Linked DNA regions of Oryzias latipes. The main gene of each other region encodes a partner of the protein of the gene in region 3 in a complex. Links are inferred from orthologs where the notes say so. Each region holds a gene or a part of one and is shown on either strand. Other genes may lie near its edges.

Region 1 (5,088 bases), on a different chromosome or scaffold from region 3:
TGTGTGAAGCCGACCTGCGGGGCTGCAACCACCTACACACGTCAGAGCAACAAAGGTTTCCCTTAAACCGTAACTCTGTCAGAAACGCCAGACAGAAAACGCTCACAGGTCTAAACTACAAGCTTCTGTTCCACTTGATCCCATCTGATTTCGTGTTCATTTTTAGATCAAATAAAAAAAAAAAAAAAAAATCAAGCTTAGTTTGAGTCTAAACGTATCAGACGATGAAAAATCTTACCATGTTAATCCTGGCATCTTGAAGCGCCATGGTCCATGCTCTGTGTTAAGAAGCAGGAAAAGACGTCAGTCTCACTAAAAGCTTCTCCACAGAACCCAAGAACTACATTTGATCAAAGGTGACACCTAAAGAGTCTTACAGAGCATCATCTGCACTGTCAGCACACAGGCTGATGACACGCCCGTCCCTGCACACTATCTGCAGCAAGGCATCACGGGACTTCCCCTCCGGGGGGGTCAGATCTGACAGGAAATGCAGGAAGGCCCACAATAAAAAAACTCAACGTTTAACTTTAAGGGTCAGCAACTGTCACAGTATCGCGGATGCTGAAATTCACCCTGGCATGCAGCAGAGTTGCGGATGTTGATGCAGCTGACTCTCATGTGGATGTCATCCTCCATGTCCCGCCTCTGCTGATCATTGTAGAACACCAGGCGTCCGTCAGCCCATAGGTCAAACCAGTTTCTCTTCCAGCGGCGCAGGATAGTACCTGCGATGAAAAGAAGCAGCTTCCATCAGCATCTGAACCTCTTTTTTATTACAATTAAATATAACTAATTGTCCAAAACATACAGAACAATAACAATGAGGATGCACATGCATTACAAAACATACATCACAAAAAATTAAAAATGTTCCAGGGCAATATTTAATTATTACTGTTTTGTTCTAATAAGATTCTAATTCTTTTGTTGTTACAGGGATTATTTTTAGAAACTTTAGATTTGTGAATATCAAACTTACCAAATATAATAAATTAATTTTCATCTGAAATTTGAAAACAACGTTGAAATGTATAAAACATTTTTTGTAATATTTCAGTTCCAAAATAGGTGACTCAATGTGTCTAGCTGCTCTTTGGGATGACCTGCATAGGCCGCGCATGCGCGTGACTCACTCTGTCTGTGAAGCCAACCGCTCTTCACCACAGCCATCTGAGAAGACACAACCAAACATGCTGGAAGTGAAACTCAGCAGAACCCCAAAAACGGACTAAATCGACAACAAGGCTCGATGTGACCTGAAATATGTTAGCAGTAGCTACAACTTCCGCTTTGACATGTTACATACATTCTACTAGATGCAGAAAAATTTCCCCAAAGCCGCATTTTAGCCGCAGCGTAAATTTAATACCAACAAAACAGTTTGGAGGCTCAAGCAGTCATAGATGCTATATGGTTGACGTACGTACGTAACCGCGCGTGTGACTCGACAATTCGTCAAAAGGCAAAAAATAATTTGCAACCAGCACGAGATGAGAAGCTTCTGGAGCGGACGGAGGGACCTGCCTGTTCCGTTAGCCGGACCGGACGGACGGACAGAGAGGCTGCAGGAGCCCCGCCCACCGAGACGTTTGTTTTGAATGACGCAACGCACCAGCTGACCGAGCTGGAAAGTGCTGGTAATCTGAGCGGGAACGCGCATGTGAAGGTCTCGCTTGGTCTGCGGGGTGGTGGAGCTGCCAGATCTTCGGTCGGTTTCCCGGTGTTTGGAGCGGAGCGCAGGTCGACTGTCTGCGGAAATACCGTCTAACTACAATCAGTCGAATGCTCTGGAGACGAGACGGGAAGAGAAAAGTTTGAGCGGCGGCGGAGCGGAAGTCCTACAACGACAGGGACCGACGGGCGACCCGGAGTTACAAAACAAACTTAGCGTAGCTTGGTTTGGCTAGTAGTTTGGAAGCTAAAGAGCGCGCGGGAGCCGAACTCTCCGTCAACAATGGCTACTGCTATATACCTGGAGCACTACCTTGACAGTGAGTATCCGTAGAAGGTCCTGGAGGAGTTTTGGTTCGGGCTTCTTCGGTCTTTTTCGTCGCCGTGTGGCTGCGGGTAGTTTAGCAGACGGTAAAGACTAAAGTGTGTGGTAGTAGCACACCTAAACTGATTATACGTACATGTTTGTGACGTCACTTGGGTTGACTTGTGATGGCTTCACAGATTCACGCCGGAGCAGAAATATACTGAGACGAAACCCTTTTAGTTTAGTATTTCCATTGGAGTCACGTTTTTATTTATCTATTTTTATTATTGAGGGATTTTTAACTCAAGAACTGTTTTTCAACCCCGCGTGAAGGCGCTTCCGTTTGCTGCCGGGACTTCATGATGTGCAGCCTGTGCAAACCGCCTTTTTGGTTACTGCGCAGGCCCGGTGCCCCCCTGACTCCACGCCCTGCAGACGAGCCCTTCCAGCTGACGCTGGGTGGCGCTAGAGCGCTGTGCATCCTGTCAGCCCCACCATGCTGAGCACGACCATGATGTGGAACAGGGGCCACCTACATCCTTAGAGCAGCGTTTTTTAACCAGTGTGCCGTGGGAGATGGTCATGTGTGCCGTGGGAAATTGCCCTCATTCACTGATCTAAAAACATTTACCATCTCCAGGATTTCAGCTCAAAAGATCGGATACGTCTCAGATTCAGGACCACATACCCAAGGGGCCTGGGTCACATTTGAAAAGATGGGATCTGCGTCGTCCAGACTGTCATGAAAAGATCAGATACAGGTCACAGGGGGGCAAAAAAATCGGAATTGGGTCGTTTCAGTCTGTGGTGTGAACGTAGCCTTTGACGTCTTGAAACCACAACGAACACGCATCAAACAGTTTTTAAATATTTTAACTTAACTTTTATTACATCTTTTAGAAGAAACAGCTGCAGCTTCCAGCTTTTTCTGCCACAATTATCACAGAAATGCATGTGAGATTGTGGAGGGACTGTACATCAATACAGACTAAGAGTTTCTCCCTTTTCTTTATTTTTGGATGCTGGTGTGCCGCGGGATTTTTGTCAAGGTTTAAGTGTCCCGTGGCTCAAAAAAAGTTGAAAAACACTGATCTAGAGAGCAAGACTAGAGAAAGCCAGAAGGAGCTGCATTTCCAGAAGAAAATGCAAGGTTTTAACGTATATTGCTTAATGAAAATGAAACTAAAAGGGTAAGAATGGGCACAAAATAAAAAATTAAATAAAGAAATGTTCAAAGTTGACCATAAGTAAAGTAAAAACGGCAAAATAATAAAGATATTTTTGTGAAAAATGCCAGACAAGTTTCTGCACCCAGGATTCCCCATGTATTTCAATGGAGGCAAAAATCATGGAATATCTGGAAAAGTTCAAGGATTTGAAGGACCAAAAGTCATAACTGGAAAAAGCTGAAAGAGCTGAATAGTTAAAATAGCTGAAAAATTGTAGAAGGAGATAAGCGGCCAAAAATGTCAGAAGATACTATGATAAAGAAAAAAAGAGAAACAGGAAAATAATGGGTTTATTTATAGCACTTAACCAATAAAAGAAGAGAATCCAGACGTCAACATAAACCTCTATGCGTGGTCTTTCAGCTACAGCTTGTTTGAGAAGCCATAACACACTGATGTATACATCCCTTTGAAACTTCAAATGTCTTTGAAAACATGTTTTTGGTGGCGGATCTTTCTTTATTTCTTACTCGTTTTCCTGAGTCCTGGTGGAAAATGCCAATTAATCGCAAATTTATCGATGTATCGTGATTTCAAGCTGTGCAATATCCATATCGCAAAAGTCAGCGACAATTTCAATAAATGGTAAACCTTAAATGTGCTAAAACAATCTTATGGCAACGTGAACTATTTAATGAATTGAATAAATCTCTTTATCCATTTGACCAATCAGATGGAGCCCTTCCTGTTGTTGACCAATCAGATGGAGCTTTCATGTTAGATGTTGCCCTCTTAATTAGACGAAGGTCATTTGGAGAATAATTTGAGGTATTTTGACCCTTATTTAAATTATACTTTGCAGTGAAATGGAAACGTTTTTGTTGTTTTGCTATTTGTTCATTTATCGCAAGTTATATCGTCATCGAATATTGATCACTAATATCCCATATTGCGGGTTTTCCTCATATCGTGCAGCCCTATTTGATACTATCTGTTATATTTGGTGACCGGCTGTTCTGGGGCAGAACAGGCATGTCTCCAGGGGAAACTACCCAATGTCTGTCCAGCGTCATGATCCCATGTCTCCCTGTGTTTACTTCTCCAGGTATTGAGAACCTGCCGTGTGAGCTGCAAAGGAACTTCACGTTAATGCGGGACCTGGACAGCAGAACTGAAGGTAGGGGTTTTATCCATTAACCTTTTAGCCAAAGGCGACAGAAAAGGAACTTTTAGAAGATGATGGCTTCTTCACTGAAACCCATCATCTGTGGTAGACATAGAGGTTTTTCTGCTTTCCTTTGAGTTGTCCGTCGTTGTGGCTCAAAACATTTCTGCTCCTCTGCAGAAAAGAAAGGAGAGATTGACAGACTGGCAGAAGAATATATATCCAACGTGAAGAACCTGGCTTCAGAGCAGAGAGTGGAACATCTACAGAAGATTCAGAACGCCTACAGCAAGTGCAAGGAGTTCAGTGACGACAAAGTTCAGCTCGCCATGCAAACGTATGAAATGGTGAGCCTTCATGACACGCCTGACAACACGCCACCTTTTTCCTCTCAAGCATGCCTTGTGAACAGAGCCGTTTGAAAGACGTCTTCTTCTGTTCTAAAGGTGGACAAACACATCCGCAGGCTGGATGCAGACCTGGCCCGCTTTGAGAACGAGCTGAAGGAGAAGCTGGAGCTGACCGGCTACGACAGCACCGACAGCAGAACCTTGAAAAGTAAATCCTCCCGCTGGAACCTTCTCGGCCAAAGTTTGCATTGGGGGGCTTATTGTTTGTGACGTTTGACTCAGAAGGTGACTCACGGGGGCAGCGGGACAAGCGTGGATCCAGAGGACGGGGAAAGAAAGGTTCTGACGACGACTCTCCCAAAAAGAAGAAGATGAAAATCAGGTAATGTTGGTTTTTGTAAAGCTCGGGGGGCTCTCACGGTT
Region 2 (4,619 bases), on a different chromosome or scaffold from region 3:
TTGCACTCCAGCATGAAAGGATTAACTAGCATGTAATCAAATTACCTCAATAATATAACATACACTCATTGTTGCTGCCATGATCCACTGTAAATGTTGTGGACAAACACTCATTTAAGGGCTTATGGACCAGTTCAGAGGTTTAGGAGGACTCCCACATAGACCAGGGGGTGGAGGGGGCAGAGCCAAGCCATAGCTTTATACAGTTACCAGTAAAGACTGATCTCAGGGGGACGCTTTTACTTCCTATTGTTGACTTTACATGCGGTATCCCTTTCAAAAGCCCCAGGGAGTGCAAGAAGAGCAGGCTGGTGAAAGTTCTGAACAGAAAAACAACACTTGACTGGGTGTGACCATAAATAACCCACCTCCTCATTAGTTTACACACTCGGGCCCTCCCAGTTGACTGCAGCCTTAAACTGTACTCCAGGGATGGGCATAATTAGTTCCTGTTTTCTGTGACGCAGGTCACCAACCAAATTTGCATCTTCCAAATCACCATTGGTGTTGACCTGCAGATGGCCTTTTGCTGAAATCAGGAGAGATCTTTCATTCTCCCCTTTTTTTTTCCTCCTCTCATTTGTCGACAAACACAAGGCACGAGTGCACTTTCAATCTGTCCCAACATCCAAATGAACCCCAAGGGGGGGTGCTGAAGTGATGCAGCAGCAATTTGGTCATTGTTCCTGGTTGTTTTAATTAGTCGTGCGGGTGAGAGGAGGTGGTTTGCTGCCACATCCAGGATTACTTCATTTCCCAATCTGCCAGGTCAATATTTGAATGTGTCTTTGAGTTGGAGTCATTACAAAGCTAAAGTCCCAAATGTGGCCGGAAAGAAATCCGAACCAGCCTAATGTTGTGGATTATATTAATAAAAATAAAAAATATATACATTCACATCGCCCGTTCAAGCAATCACTTTCAATAAAAGTCTATGTAAGCTCAAGTAAATGCGCATTTCGGACTTCTACCAACTCTCGTGTTCATGTGTACCTACTAGGCCTGCACAATGTACCGCAAATTTATTGTTATCGCGAAATCCAGCTCTGCAATATGCATATCGCAAAAGACGGCAAATATCGCAATAAATCGTAAGCCTTAAATGTGCTAAAAGAATCTTATGTCAGCTTGAACCATTTAACGAATCAAATAAATCCCTTTATGCATTTGACCAATCGGATGGAGGCCTATTATGTTAGATGTTTGTCACCTATGTCGACGAGTGACATTTGGAGTATAATTTTTAAACTGTTGCAATGTAATGGGAATGGTTATTTGGTTATTTTGCTATTTGTTTACATATCGCAAATTATATCATGATCGCAATTTTAATCTCTAATATCGCATATCGCGAGTTTTCCTCATATCGTGCAGCCCTAGTACCTACGCACATTTTTTAGCCCATTTTCGCGCTCTACATACAGCGTGGCCACTGAACGGACACTGAAAGTTAAACCAGGTCCAATTTTAACCAATCAGGAACTTGGATTTGGTAGTGAAGAATGGATGGCGTCCCTTTTGATAAACAGAAGTGCCAACCGTATGAAGATTGATCATGGAAGAGACGTTTATAATAATGGTTTGTGCCCAGATGGAACATTACGACTCCAAGTCTTTCATTTATTGGAACAGAGCTCAGAAAGGAAGAGCCTGAAGAAAGGGTCACGAAATTTACACCGCTTTGACATTTTGCACCAAGCCTCTTCCAACAGTAGGTGGCGGACATGAGCTAGTAAACAGGAGAAAAACAGAAAGATAAGGAAGCCCCTCCCTGCTAGTCCAGTGTGAGTACCACGCGCTAAATGCGTGTTCAAAAATGTGCCATTAGTGAATTTTTGAACGAGCTTCATATTTTTGGTGTGTTCGTAGCTCAAAAGCTGACTGAAGACATTCGGGCTGCACGCGCCTAGAATCAAATTTTTGTCATTCTCTATACAGTTTTGTGATTTTTTTTTTTACCCTAAATATAAGGTTTTAACATTTTATGGTGGTCTATCTGCAAAGAAAGTATAAATGTCTGTTAGTTGAGGGATCGTTAAAGGTCAAACGGCGCAAGCCTGATTCCTTGACAGCAGATTTCTGTTATCACACTTTAGTGCGTTTGAGCTGATAGCCTCTGCTATTACTGGAAAGCTTTCACTTCCAGTCAAGATGCTAAACAAACAGACGCGCATCAACAAGTCTGGAAATATTTACCTTTTGATCATATATGCTGGTGATGAATGGAGAACTTTTGAAAGCTCTCAGTAGAAGTTATCTACAACTTCCCCCAGTGATGGAAGTGTTTTTTTTTCTTCTAAAGAACGCATCTTAATGCGGTTTCCCAACACACTGTCTGCAGTCAGAGCAATGAAGTCTGTTCCTGGAAGTGGATTAATTTCCATTAGGAATATTTTTAGGTCTGGTGATAAAAATCAATACCAATTTAGAATCGGTGCGAGGCCAAAAAAGAAACGAGAAAAACAGCGAGACAAACGGCGGCTGAAGAGATGCTGATGATTTACTTGGGGATTCTAAATTAAGTACATTACAGGAAATTATGCTGCTTCAAAAGAGCAGGCTGTCCTGAGTGAGGGGGTGGGGTCCTATTAGAACATTGCTGGTAGAAAGAGAGCAAGCTGAAGTGGTTGCATAACACAGCAGGGGGGGAAAAAAAAAAAAAAAAAACCTCCCATTCCTCGCTTTTGTTCCTGCCAGAGTCTTTTCAAAATCTAATAAACTCTAAACCAAGACTGCTCTTCTTTGCCTTTAAACCTCAAAGTATCTCTTATTCTCAGCACACACACTATTTTGGTGCCTTCACAACTAAACGTCCTTTGAAGTCAATGTTAAACCTGAAGTGTTTGGAGGGGGTGATGTCATCAGGCTGGGAGCAATAGGTTGAAATGTTCCAAATGGAAAACAGCGCGCCTTTCCTCAACTATGAGAGTCAGTGGAGGACGCTATGTCTCTAAACAGTTCTCGGTTTCACTTTTGGCCTGACCACAGATGCAGTCACAGTTGTGGGTGCTGTATCAAGGTGTCGCTTCCTGATTATTCACTGTGAAACTGCTGAAGAGCAGGGCCACATTGATGCAGCTGCAGAACTGATGCATAACACCTTAAAAAAAATTACTCAAAGTTGTTTTTTTTTAAGTTTTTAAAGCAGTTTGCACCAACATTTTTTTTTTTTTTAAATCAAACACCATTTGGTGCTAAGCATGATGGAAAAGTATGAGTCAGCGGTGCAGAGACAGAGAAACAATTGAACCTGTGAGTTTGTTTACATGGTTCCATTTCCTCTCCGGGGCGGCTCGACTTGCACAAGGGTCAGGACCTGAACTCCAGTCTGAGAATAATCTGCCTTCCCTTTTCACAATTGCACAAGTTTCCAATAAAATATTCAGATTCTCCTCGCAGATGCTATAGAACTGGCAAGACAAGTGGCCACATCCTCTAAGGTCATTAGGCTAGAGTTACATAACCTGTGGGAAGCCTACAGCAGACTGCCTACCACACACTGTCAGCATTACTTTCAGAATATCTAAGCCCTCTTATTTTGGAGACCAATTTTGGGGAGACAGCTCCACTAGGTGATTTTTTTTAAAAACTTTATTTTGAAAGTTTAACAATCCATGTGCCCAACTAATTCGATTGAGATGTCAAGTTTCGTTCTTGTGACATGGCGTGCTTTTGTTAAACACGTCTGCTTCAAATATAGCATGAATGGGGTGAGTTTACCTGGTCTCGTTCGTGTGGGAGGAGCGTCACCAATGACAGGAGCAAGGGGGAAGCACTTGGACACCTGGAGCTCCTTCCCTCCACGCCACCATGGCTGAACTTATACCTCGGACCGTTCTTCAACAATCTGCCGTTATTGACGGACCGCTTTGCTGCCAGTCGCAACCTCTGCCGGAAAGCAGGGTTATCAACAACGTTTGACAGGTCGTCCTGATTCCTCAGATAGCGCTCGATGTTCTTTAGAGAGGAGCCGTGGGTATCATCCAGACCATCGATGGCCCTCCTAAGTATTTTATTCCAATCGATGTGGCGCAGATCGCTCGATTCCCATATAGAATCCTTTGATGGCACAGATGTGTTCGCAGGCAAAACCGATCCGAGTCTTCCCAGGTTCCCGGGGTCCTTGTAGGAGGTGCTCCCCTTATTTGTAACCTTGAGGATAGAGCCATCAAGAACGCTTAATTCCAACTGTTCAAGGATGGTCTTCTTGTCCAGTCCATGCAACGTGGCCACCGCATGGCAAATTCTTTCCTCCGAGGGCCTTTGCTTCTGCCTTTTGATTTTCTGTATTGCTTCAAGAATCCACTCCGTGTACAGAGGATTTGCAAGTTTTACCATGATTGAGCAATTCACTTCAAAAATGTGCGATCCATAAAGGTTCCCCCTTTCTGCAGGTGAAAACTGGGTACATCCACATCCTCAAGGAGGTCAAGAGGTTATGCTCCATGGAAGCATCCACACACTTGTTGTCCCGTCTCAATCCCAAGTTAACTTGAGCAAAAAGTTGTAAAAAAAAAAAAAAAAAAAAAAAAGTAAAATCCACACTGGTAGGAATCAGCTGATCAGGAACTTTATTTATTAATAAAATCCCAGATTAAATCTGAAAAAGAAGGGGGGAG
Region 3 (5,099 bases):
TCCCACTGCATAGTCCCACCCTGTTCTGCTGCACTCTAATCACAAACTATATGTTAAGAGAGAAATAAATATTTTGTGCTTGAAAAGGATTGTGTTTTGGTTTTTCTTATAAACTTGGACTGTTTTATACTTCCTTTAAGTTTGTAGAATCTGGAATAAATGGAGCCATTTGGCCTTTAAGTGTGGCGTTTGTTCACGTTGCAACACATTTTCTAAAAAGTTAGGACAATAAAGAACCTAAAATCTTCAGAAATCTTGACCCAGGGGTGACTGGACTTTTTGCGAAGAGGACCAGTTTTAAGTGAGGTGAAAATGTGAGGGCCAACCATTTGGAGATCCTTCTTAAAACCCTTCTAGTAAACCGTTAACCTCTTAAGACTTTGCTCTGGTTTAAAATGCATCATTTTATTTCATAGTCACAGGGCCCCAGTAAGCAGAATAAACTACTGTGGTAACACAACCCAAAATGTGATTTAAGAGGTCAATTGGAAACTAACTATTCAATGATTTATTTATAATGGAATACTTTTCATTTCTTCACACAGAACAAAAATACATTTAAATACATTTTTTTTAACTTACTGTGAATTTCATATTTGAAGACCAGAACTATAACAAAGAAAATGTCTCTCTGAAAAGAAAAAAAAAACCTTTTGTGAATATTAAATCTGGGTTCATTTGAAACTTTACATTTTATTTACAATTTAATGCTCACTGTAAACTTCTAAATTTAAATCACGAGACCAAAACAGTAACACAAAATTATCATATTCAGAAGTACAAAACACTTTTTTTCTTTTTATCTTTTTTATTTTTATTCATTTTATTTTATTTTTCATTAAAAAAAAAGTCTTCCCTTCTCATTTGGCCTTGGAGGCTCAGAAGGTCAAGTGTTTGTTACCAAAGGTTTACAACGACAAGTAGTCCTTAGAAAGGCGCCGGGGGTCCCATATTATTGATTGGATGACAGGATCCTGCGGACTGGTAGAAATGTGCATGCGGGCCACATGTGGCCAGACTTTGGACATGCATGCCTAACTGTATTTATTTGATGATGAAGAGTTTACAATTGACAGTCAAATTAAAAATTGTAATGCTTTACTTTGTAAATTATTTAACCATCTATTTTAAAAAAAATATGTAGCTTTGCATATTTCTACAGCAGATTTACATGGGATTTTGTTTTGCCTACACTAGGACAACTGTAAAATTCACAACATTTAGAAATAGAGAAATAATATTCATCTTCATTTTTACTAGACATTGCACTGTACAATAATATCTAACGCAAGCCACAGATTGGCAAATTTAACTAGGTCTGATAGCAAAATACAGAATAACTAGTAGGCATTGAGCATGAAAGGATGGAGTTCGTAATAACTTTTTTTTAATTGAACTTCAAACAAACATATACCCATAGCTGCAACAGAAAGACATACAAAGAATAAAATACAAACAAAAAAAATGAAAAATAACATTAACATTGTAGATCACAATACCAGGGATTGTCATACAACATGCGATCTTCAATGAAAATAGACAATTTTATAGCATTTTTGTTTTTTTTTATTAATTTCAGAGATTTAAAATATAAACTGATCTCTTTATTAAATGTATTGAATAATGGTTTGGTTTTTGAAAATCTGCTCTTATGAATGAAAAATTTCCCAGATATTTATAAAGTATTGAATGCCAAATCAAATAGATTATCACCAGAAACTACTCCAAATAATATGATGTGCTGTTCGTAATAACTAACAGGCTCACAGTTGAAATTCAAACACAGGCACTACACAAGACGCAAAGTCGTAAAATGGCTTGCTCTCGATTGGATCTTCTCTGAGATGAGCCCGCCCAATCTAACTGTAACAACCAATCAGCTACTCATACTCAACACAACCACCAATCAGAATGGAGCTCCCGCCCCCAGTATCCCTTTGTCTGATCCAATCAAAGAAAACGGTCGAATTAGATCCTGCTTTCCGTGTCGAATGTGTCGAACTGCCTCCGCTGCGCAGCGTTACTGCAATGGTTGCCCCTTTTGTTCATCCGTATTCCTGAATTGTTTAATACACAATGAAAGTACCTGGATATTTTATTGTTTCATAAAAACATCCCACTGCAATTACGATCTCTGTGATCTCATCTGGGATTTTTTTTAAATCAATTAAACTCGAACTGCTATCCTGAGCTGCTGTGAGGTTTCCGAAGCACGCAGTCTTTCTTGAGGAACGTGGAGTTGTAAGTGTTAATAACGCCAGTCATGAACTACAATGTTAACGTAATACTGTTATGTGGGGAATCTGTTCACATTTAAAGTTCTGAGTGGGAGCCAGTAGGCGACAACTTAGCAATTATCGCAATCCATCTCAGTCTATCATGTCCTGAAAACAAACTGACGTTCGTCAGACCCTTCGTCAAAAAGAAGTACGCACGGGCTTCCTTGGTTACTAGTAAAACACTCAAAAGACACAGTATCACAGAAAATAACATTTTTACTAGCATTAGTTTGGTCAAGCGTTTGAATTCCCCACTATTGTTTGTTAGTCTCACAAAACCCGATGTTAAACTGTCAAATCGCTGCCCAGTCTCCGGAATCACCAGGGTGAGGTCGTTATGGAGGGAAACACCGGGGTTGAATGACTCCAGCCAGCCTGCAGTGTACGTAACTCCAAATACTTTCCAGAATTGTGTATTTGTAGTTCTACCGAGATGCTCTGTGGTGTTTACGTTGACATGTCTTTCTTTGTTTCGCTAACGTTTACCACGGGAACTCAGCTACAGTTTTAGCAAAGCGAATTAAACGTCACCGTGAAGTATGCAACTGAAAAGCAACACAACAGTAAGGACTAAAGTAAAGATGGCTCTGCTCAATGTTTAATTGCGTTTGTGTTTATGGAGGCTACGTTACAGTTATTGGCGCTATTCGCTTCGTGACCTAATGTTGTTTGCTAGCTGTTGTTAGCATGATGGCTAATAGCGCTTTCTGTTGTCATTGTTTGTGGAGGCGACTGAAAACGCTAGTTAACAAGATTAAAGCTACGTGTTTGAGTTTCTCTTAGAAATATAAACTCTGTTATTTTAATTGTTTTTTTTATTTTGTTACTGGATTTTAATTTATTTTCCTTGTGTTTCCTTTAGCCTGTGAACAGTGGTGTATTGCTGTAGTTTTATTGTAATGGTCACCTCAGCTTCACTGAAGATGTAAGGGTCGTAGTAATGGCACTGAAATGCACCTGTTACTGGGAGACATTTGCAACTATTTATTTGTCACTACAACTACGGGAAGCCTCTTGGTTACATGACTTCACCGTACCCAGCTCACGAGGATGTATTAAAGCAATCAACAAAAATCATTTCCTGCTAAAAATCCCACCAATTTAAGTTAATTTGCAAGTTTTCACATAAACTTTTGATTTATTGTTACAATAACTCTAAGACGTAGTTTAACTAGGGGTGTAACGATTCCTTTTTAACAATGATTCGATCCATTTAAAGATTTGTGGTTGAAGATACGATTTATAGTCAATATAGGTTCATTTTGAACAATCCCGTTCACTGACCTAAAGTTGATCCAGGACAACTTTAGCCAGAAATTCAAGCAGTGTGACTCAGACATAAATACCTGGGTACTGAACAGGTGAAGTTTTCCAGATTTCTTGCAAGATAATTAAGTGTAAATGAAACAAACACGTTAACAAGAATCAATGGCAAATCCGTTCACATTTTAGTTTCATAAAGTTCAGCCCACTGTTGTTTTTTTCACGTAAAATATTACAAACAGAACATTATTAGACCATTCGACCACACTGCATGGTCACATCTTTGCAAAGTCATAGTATTTCTACACTATAATGATGCCATAATCCATTTTTGCTGACATAACGCAAGTTGACATTCTCTGATGCACTTGGTTGTTTTTACGTTATAGGAAAATAAACCCACCGTGCCTCAGTCCAAATAGTATTTTCCAATATCGATATAATCAATTTATTTCATTTTGAAATTGTTTTATAATGGTAAAGGTCAATTCGGTTGGATTGTAGGAATACAAAATCCATTCATCGATTAATCATTGCACCCCTTGGTTTAACCAACAAATCCTTTGATCAAAGTTTGAGTTAAACGTTAAAAGTTACCACTTCACATAGCTGATTTCGCAGACAACTGACAAATCTAATAATTTGTATTAATCATCAAAGGAAATACACAAATATTTACACCATATCAATATAGGTTTCTCAAATTTAAAAGAAAAAAGTTAGTTACTCTTCTGATATGTTGTACTATCACCTAAAGACATCTGGTCAGTGTTACATCTTGGCTCCCATTTGTGTTTTCCTGTTACAGATGTAAACTTGAGCATCATATGTCCCAGCAGTGTCTGTTGGCACAATGGGGCTGGATTTTGATGTAAAGACATTCTGTCACAATCTTAGGGCCACCAAGCCCCCTTATGAGTGTCCTGTGGAGACTTGTCGTAAGGTCTACAAGAGCTACAGTGGCATTGAGTATCACCTGTACCATTATGACCATGACAATCCAACTCCTGCACAGACTATGCCACAGAAGAAGAGGAAAGGACGGCCCCCTCGAGCCTCTCTGACTGGTTCAGCGGATACGGATGATGGCGGAGGCAATGGAGGACAGGGTCATGAAGGAAACACGCCGGGGAGCCCCAGCCGATCAGAGCACTCCCACTCTCCGGGGAGGGAGACCATGACCTATGCCCAGGCACAGAGCATGGTCGAACTGGAGATCCAAGGCCGTGTTCATCGCATTAGCATCTTCGAAAACATTGATGTGGTGTCAGAGGAGGACAGCGATGCTGATGATGCGCTGCCATCTGGAACTGGCAATAGCACGGGAGGTGTGTGTAACGGCGGCGACGGTGGAGGTGGAGGCAGTGAAGTGGGAGGGAGCTGCAAAGACCGTTCTGATATCACATCCTCCAACGGGGCCAAAGCAACACCAAAGACTGGGAAGCATAAGAGCAAAGCAAAGAAGAAGGATGGCTCATCTCATCACCACAACTCTCAGTCTGGTCCTGCCGTCAAACTCCCAGAAGCTGTGTTTAGAGAACTGGACCAAGATAGACC
Region 4 (4,619 bases), on a different chromosome or scaffold from region 3:
TCAAGGCTCTGTGGTGGCAGTGCATCGAGTGTAAGACCTGCAGCAGCTGTCAGGATCAAGGAAAGAATGCGGTGAGCGGTGGAAGGAACACGCAGAAGCCCTGATGTCTCTCTCAGGCGTCACATGACGACATCCGTGGTCCTGCTTTTGAGCTTAATTGTCAGCTTCTGCGTGGTTTCACCCATTTAAGCTTCCTTTAGATGAGTCGTTTGAAGAGATCTTTATCTCTGAGACTAACGGCGTGACAGAAAAGCCTCCATTTGACTGTTTTACCGTTTAGAAATATGTGCATATCGTTTGTCATCTTATTTATTGACTTGTTAGCAGTAGAATGTAACCATATTTTCAACCCTATAAAGCACACTTAAAAACAACAGTGCGCCCTTATATATAGATTTCTTTTGGTTGTGCTTATTGATGTCAAAACGATTTTGAGAGGTGCACAGCACTCTGTCAAAATGTCCGTCAGTTTTCTTTTTTTTACGAAATCCAAACACGGTTGGGTTTTATTGTAATACTTATAACATGTCGCGTGTTACAAATATGTTTTCGAGTTACTGTGAACGTAGCTAATAAAGTTTTATGTCAATTATTGACGGTGGGATACTAGGACTTTGACGAGTGTACGAATAAGTCGGCTAATCGCGATCTGCTCTCGAAAATTACACAGTACAAATATTTGTGACATCACTGATTCGTGATCTTTAGAAATATATGTAAAAGTGTATTAAAAACACAAATCGGGATTGATGTATTTATTGCTCTTAAATGTTAAATAATGTTGGATTTTAAGTTTCTGAACCAAAAAAAAAGAAAGCCGAATGCGCAGCGCCACAGTCATCAAAATAAAGTGTCAGTGAAGCTTCTCTTTTTCAAAATAAAACTCTCCTGTGTGTTTATGAAGTTTAAAAAAATGAGACTAAAGTTCAGTTTACTGACATAAGATCTGAAAAACGAATGAGCTTTTTACAGCGGAGTGTTTACATTCTTCTCATTGCGGTTACTCTTCAGCAGCAGTCGCATTTAACTTCATTCCAGTCGATTCTGAAGCGGAGAAAAGCAGCCTCAAGCTGATATGCAAGCACTGCACAGTAGCCATGACATAATCGCCAGGAAGAAAAGCAGCTTTTCAGACCGGCTTTGCGTCGATATGCTATGCTTCGGAACGTAAAGTGTTGCAGAACTTTGAGGATGGAAGACTGTGGAAAAAAATTTCAGGATTTGTTGTTATTTGATCCAAATCAACAAGGATGCTCATGTTACTGCTGAACGTAACCAGAGACCTGCCAAAAAAAAACTTAAGTGACAAACAGCGTTTGTTTGTATCCCAATCTCTGGGTTTTTATCAATTGTGTTGAATCTGATCTCCTGTTCTAGATAAAAGCCTAAGTGATGGTGACTGAATACATATCATTTTAATTTCCAAACGGCCAGTTAAAAGACAAACTAATAAAGCAAATGTACAATCAGACTCAAAAGTAAGAATGGTAGTTTGATCTGTGAATCGAATCGGATCACCGCCCAAGTAACGATCCCCAGCCGTATGCCATAAATAGTGTGAACAGTACAGTCCATCTGAGGAAGTGGGACGCACTAACATGAATGTATTTGTGTGTGTGAGCAGGACAACATGCTCTTCTGCGACTCCTGTGACCGCGGCTTCCACATGGAGTGCTGCGACCCCCCACTCACGCGGATGCCTAAAGGTAAATCATCAGCAAAATCCATTAACAAGACCAAAACACACGTGGTGGGGTATTTCGAAAGGAAGTTTTTGAAATTATGGGATGGCCACAGGACCTACAGCTTTGCAGCTGTTTGGCAGTATTCACATTTTTCTACGAAATGAGGAAAAAAAGTTCTGCTTAAGGGATCTTCACAAAATTTCAGACAGGCGCCGTCAGATCTATTGTTTTGACCTTTGACCTCAGCCAGAGGCTACCATCTTGACTTAACAAAAGATCACCTTTAGTGGCTTTTACAAATTTAAACTCCTCCTAGGGATTTCATTCTCTCGCCTCCTAACTCCTCGAGCATCTTCTGGAAGCTACAGTGAAAACAAATGTTGGTTTCAAAGTTTGTAGATTTTCAACAGCTTTGGAAGGCAAACTCTGAAAAGTGAAAGAATCCCTGGCTATTCAAGCTCAACAATATACAGTATGAACATTTAGGAATGTGGGCGTGGCTAACAAATACTTCCATTGTCAAGGAAATCCAAAAATTAATTTTTAATTACATGTAACCTTTGGGAACCCCAGGCGATCAAAAAAAGATTGTTGCTATGGAAATAAAATCTACAGAAAAGTGGCATTTATTTATTTATTTATTATGAATTTGGCACATGCATCTCTCACCAGGATGGCAAAGGGCGAAGGGGAGATTGAAGGGTGTGCAGCAGCCGTTCAGGCAGTAAGGGCGGGTCAAAATGGGGCGGCAAGGGCCGTTAGCGCCTCGTATAACGCCACTGGCCGCTTTAGTCCAGTTCTGATCTGCTGCAGAAATACTTTCATATCTCGCTTTTCTTTGCGGTGGATGACCTGAGGGTTTTCTTTCCCCCTTTTCTGTCCCAGGTATGTGGATTTGCCAAATCTGCCAACCCAGGAAAAAAGGAAAGACTCTTTTACACGAAAAGGCGGCGCAGATCAAACGGCGCTACAACGCACCTCTGGGCCGGCCAAAGTCCAGGTACGGAGCCAGGTTCATGCACTTGTCACATCCGAGTGCGAATAAACTGCTGAAGGGATGCAGCTTCATACCTCTGCAGGAGTTCAGGGTTCTCTGATCTATCTCCCACAGGCCGGGGCGGCCCTTCAAGAAGCTTGGGGGGCGCGGCCGCAGGAAGCGGTCGGTCTCGGCGAACTCCTCCTCCAGCTCCTCCTGTGAGGGGTACCCGGGCGACGACCGGCTGCTCTTCTCCATGCGAGGCGACGACGAGCAGAGCGGCCTGCGCTACAACAGCAAGACCAAGGGCCTCATCGACGCCCTCACCAAGTTCTTCACGCCGTCGCCGGAGGGCCGCAAGGCCCGCCAGGAGGTGGTTGACTACTCGCAGCAGTGTCGCATTCGAAAGAAAGCGAGTCGCAAAGGAGAAGGGGACGACAGGGGAGGTGAGGGTGAGCACTTTTTCTGAAGTTTTCCCCTCATCAGAACCCCATGTACCAAACCCTCGGCTGTGTTTACGGCAACAGGAAGTCAAACGCTGTGATCACACAGGAAAGAAGGAGCTTCAGTCAGCATTGTTTGTTTTATTCAAACTTCTTTTTGCTAATCCTTTTAAATGAAGCAAGAGAACATTTTGATTTCCAAATGAGCAAAATTGGCAGAAGAAACGCAAAACAGGACAAAAGAATGTGTTTTAAATTCTGCAGTTTCTGGATAATCATTTTAAGCTAGCATTGGCCAAACATGGTTAGCTTAAACCGACCTCCCGTTCATCAGCTTTGCCTTCATTTCCTTTGATGTCCAGACAATCAGGATGGCAGCGACTGGCGGGAAGACGACGACAAACTCCCCGGCCACGAGAACCTGACGGAGAAGGATATCGAGCTGTTCCGACACATCCAGGAGTTGGCGTTACAGGTACGCCGAGTGAACCGAGGAGGAACAAAGCAGCATCTGGCTTTAGACAGGAAAACGGCATCTGAAAGAGCAGGAGGTGACAGGAAGTCAAGTTGGATCGCAGGTTTTTCTCTGCAAAGACACAGATCAGCTGTTGGATTCAGCATGGATAATTGATCCAGATAACAAGGACAGCTGCTTTGCCACAGGAACTCTTTTGAGTTTGGCATTCTTCTCATGACTGATAGGAAATACGGCAAGATCGGAAAGACACAGAGGCCTGACAGTTTAAGCGCACTAAATAAATGAATTACCTTGATGTCAGAGGCTTATGTGCTGCAGTAAAGTCAGGCGAAGGTGGGCGTTCTGCCAGCTATTGAACTGTGAAAGGTCAGCGTGATTATCCAGGCTTAGTGGCAGTGATTCAGAGTTACGTGTTTGTCATAAATCTTACCACAATGCTGTGAAGAGGCTCCAGGGAAATGTTCATTTCCCTGTTTTCCCCATCCTCATATTCATGCTCAACCCCAACAGAAAGTGGGCGTGACGGGTCCGCCTGACCCTCAGATGCGCTGCCCAGCCGTCATCGAGTTTGGCAAGTTTGAAATCCAGACTTGGTATTCATCTCCCTACCCGCAGGAATACAGCAGGTAAGTTAACATACTTCAAAACTGCACATCAACACAAAGCTGTTAGTGAACAGGTCTGTTAACCCAGGGGGGAGGAGGGGGTGTCACGGACCTCTGCCGGTCCGTGAGATGTAAAGGGCCACACACCAAAAAGAAAAACGTTTTTCTGTTTTATTTACTATCTCATTCTGAAGGAAGTTTAATGACATCTGACTCTTTCGTCGCTCTGTCACGTGTCAAAAAGGCATCCACTGCTTTCTTAAAGCGGCTGCGCCGTTTGCCAAATTAAAACCCCCCAAGCTAGAAAAGTTAGCAAAAAAAAAAAACATTTGGAAAGTTTCTTTTGGCAGAAAAGAGTCTGTAAGGAAAAAGAAGAGCCTTTGAAGTCAAATTAAAAAAAAAAAAAAAAGAAGTTTCCTTTAACAGAAAAAC

What was found.
Region 1: brpf1 (region 3) and ing5 share a complex: the UniProt entries of both Homo sapiens proteins name them as parts of the MOZ/MORF complex. The link is inferred for Oryzias latipes from reciprocal best matches to the Homo sapiens genes BRPF1 and ING5.
Region 2: brpf1 (region 3) and kat6b share a complex: the UniProt entries of both Homo sapiens proteins name them as parts of the MOZ/MORF complex. The link is inferred for Oryzias latipes from reciprocal best matches to the Homo sapiens genes BRPF1 and KAT6B.
Region 4: brpf1 (region 3) and kat6a share a complex: the UniProt entries of both Homo sapiens proteins name them as parts of the MOZ/MORF complex. The link is inferred for Oryzias latipes from reciprocal best matches to the Homo sapiens genes BRPF1 and KAT6A.

What each region holds. Positions count from the first base shown.
Region 1 is NC_019862.2:3,236,144-3,241,231, forward strand, and holds the start of ing5 (inhibitor of growth protein 5), read left to right. Parts: upstream 1-1,629; 5' UTR 1,630-1,957; coding exon 1,958-1,994; exon of another isoform or gene 1,995-2,075; intron 2,076-2,135; exon of another isoform or gene 2,136-2,324; intron 2,325-4,255; coding exon 4,256-4,327; intron 4,328-4,495; coding exon 4,496-4,662; intron 4,663-4,761; coding exon 4,762-4,873; intron 4,874-4,947; coding exon 4,948-5,047; intron 5,048-5,088. Other genes in the region: plekhb2 (pleckstrin homology domain-containing family B member 2), read right to left, coding at 1-32, 239-278, 378-480, 576-728, 1,137-1,173. UniProt on the Homo sapiens protein: Component of the HBO1 complex, which specifically mediates acetylation of histone H3 at 'Lys-14' (H3K14ac) and, to a lower extent, acetylation of histone H4. Component of the MOZ/MORF complex which has a histone H3 acetyltransferase activity.
Region 2 is NC_019877.2:10,213,198-10,217,816, reverse strand, and holds part of kat6b (histone acetyltransferase KAT6B), read right to left. Parts: intron 4,601-4,619; 5' UTR 4,339-4,600; coding exon 3,721-4,338; intron 1-3,720. UniProt on the Homo sapiens protein: Histone acetyltransferase which may be involved in both positive and negative regulation of transcription. Required for RUNX2-dependent transcriptional activation. May be involved in cerebral cortex development.
Region 3 is NC_019865.2:17,252,256-17,257,354, reverse strand, and holds the start of brpf1 (peregrin), read left to right. Parts: upstream 1-1,981; 5' UTR 1,982-2,241; intron 2,242-2,247; exon of another isoform or gene 2,248-2,588; 5' UTR 2,589-2,661; intron 2,662-2,696; exon of another isoform or gene 2,697-2,818; coding exon of another isoform or gene 2,819-2,842; intron 2,843-3,689; exon of another isoform or gene 3,690-4,350; 5' UTR 4,351-4,395; coding exon 4,396-5,099. UniProt on the Homo sapiens protein: Scaffold subunit of various histone acetyltransferase (HAT) complexes, such as the MOZ/MORF and HBO1 complexes, which have a histone H3 acetyltransferase activity.
Region 4 is NC_019867.2:24,401,418-24,406,036, forward strand, and holds part of kat6a (histone acetyltransferase KAT6A), read left to right. Parts: coding exon 1-71; intron 72-1,624; coding exon 1,625-1,706; intron 1,707-2,570; coding exon 2,571-2,685; intron 2,686-2,796; coding exon 2,797-3,113; intron 3,114-3,230; exon of another isoform or gene 3,231-3,466; coding exon 3,467-3,579; exon of another isoform or gene 3,580-3,640; intron 3,641-3,872; exon of another isoform or gene 3,873-4,092; coding exon 4,093-4,208; intron 4,209-4,619. UniProt on the Homo sapiens protein: Histone acetyltransferase that acetylates lysine residues in histone H3 and histone H4 (in vitro). Component of the MOZ/MORF complex which has a histone H3 acetyltransferase activity. May act as a transcriptional coactivator for RUNX1 and RUNX2.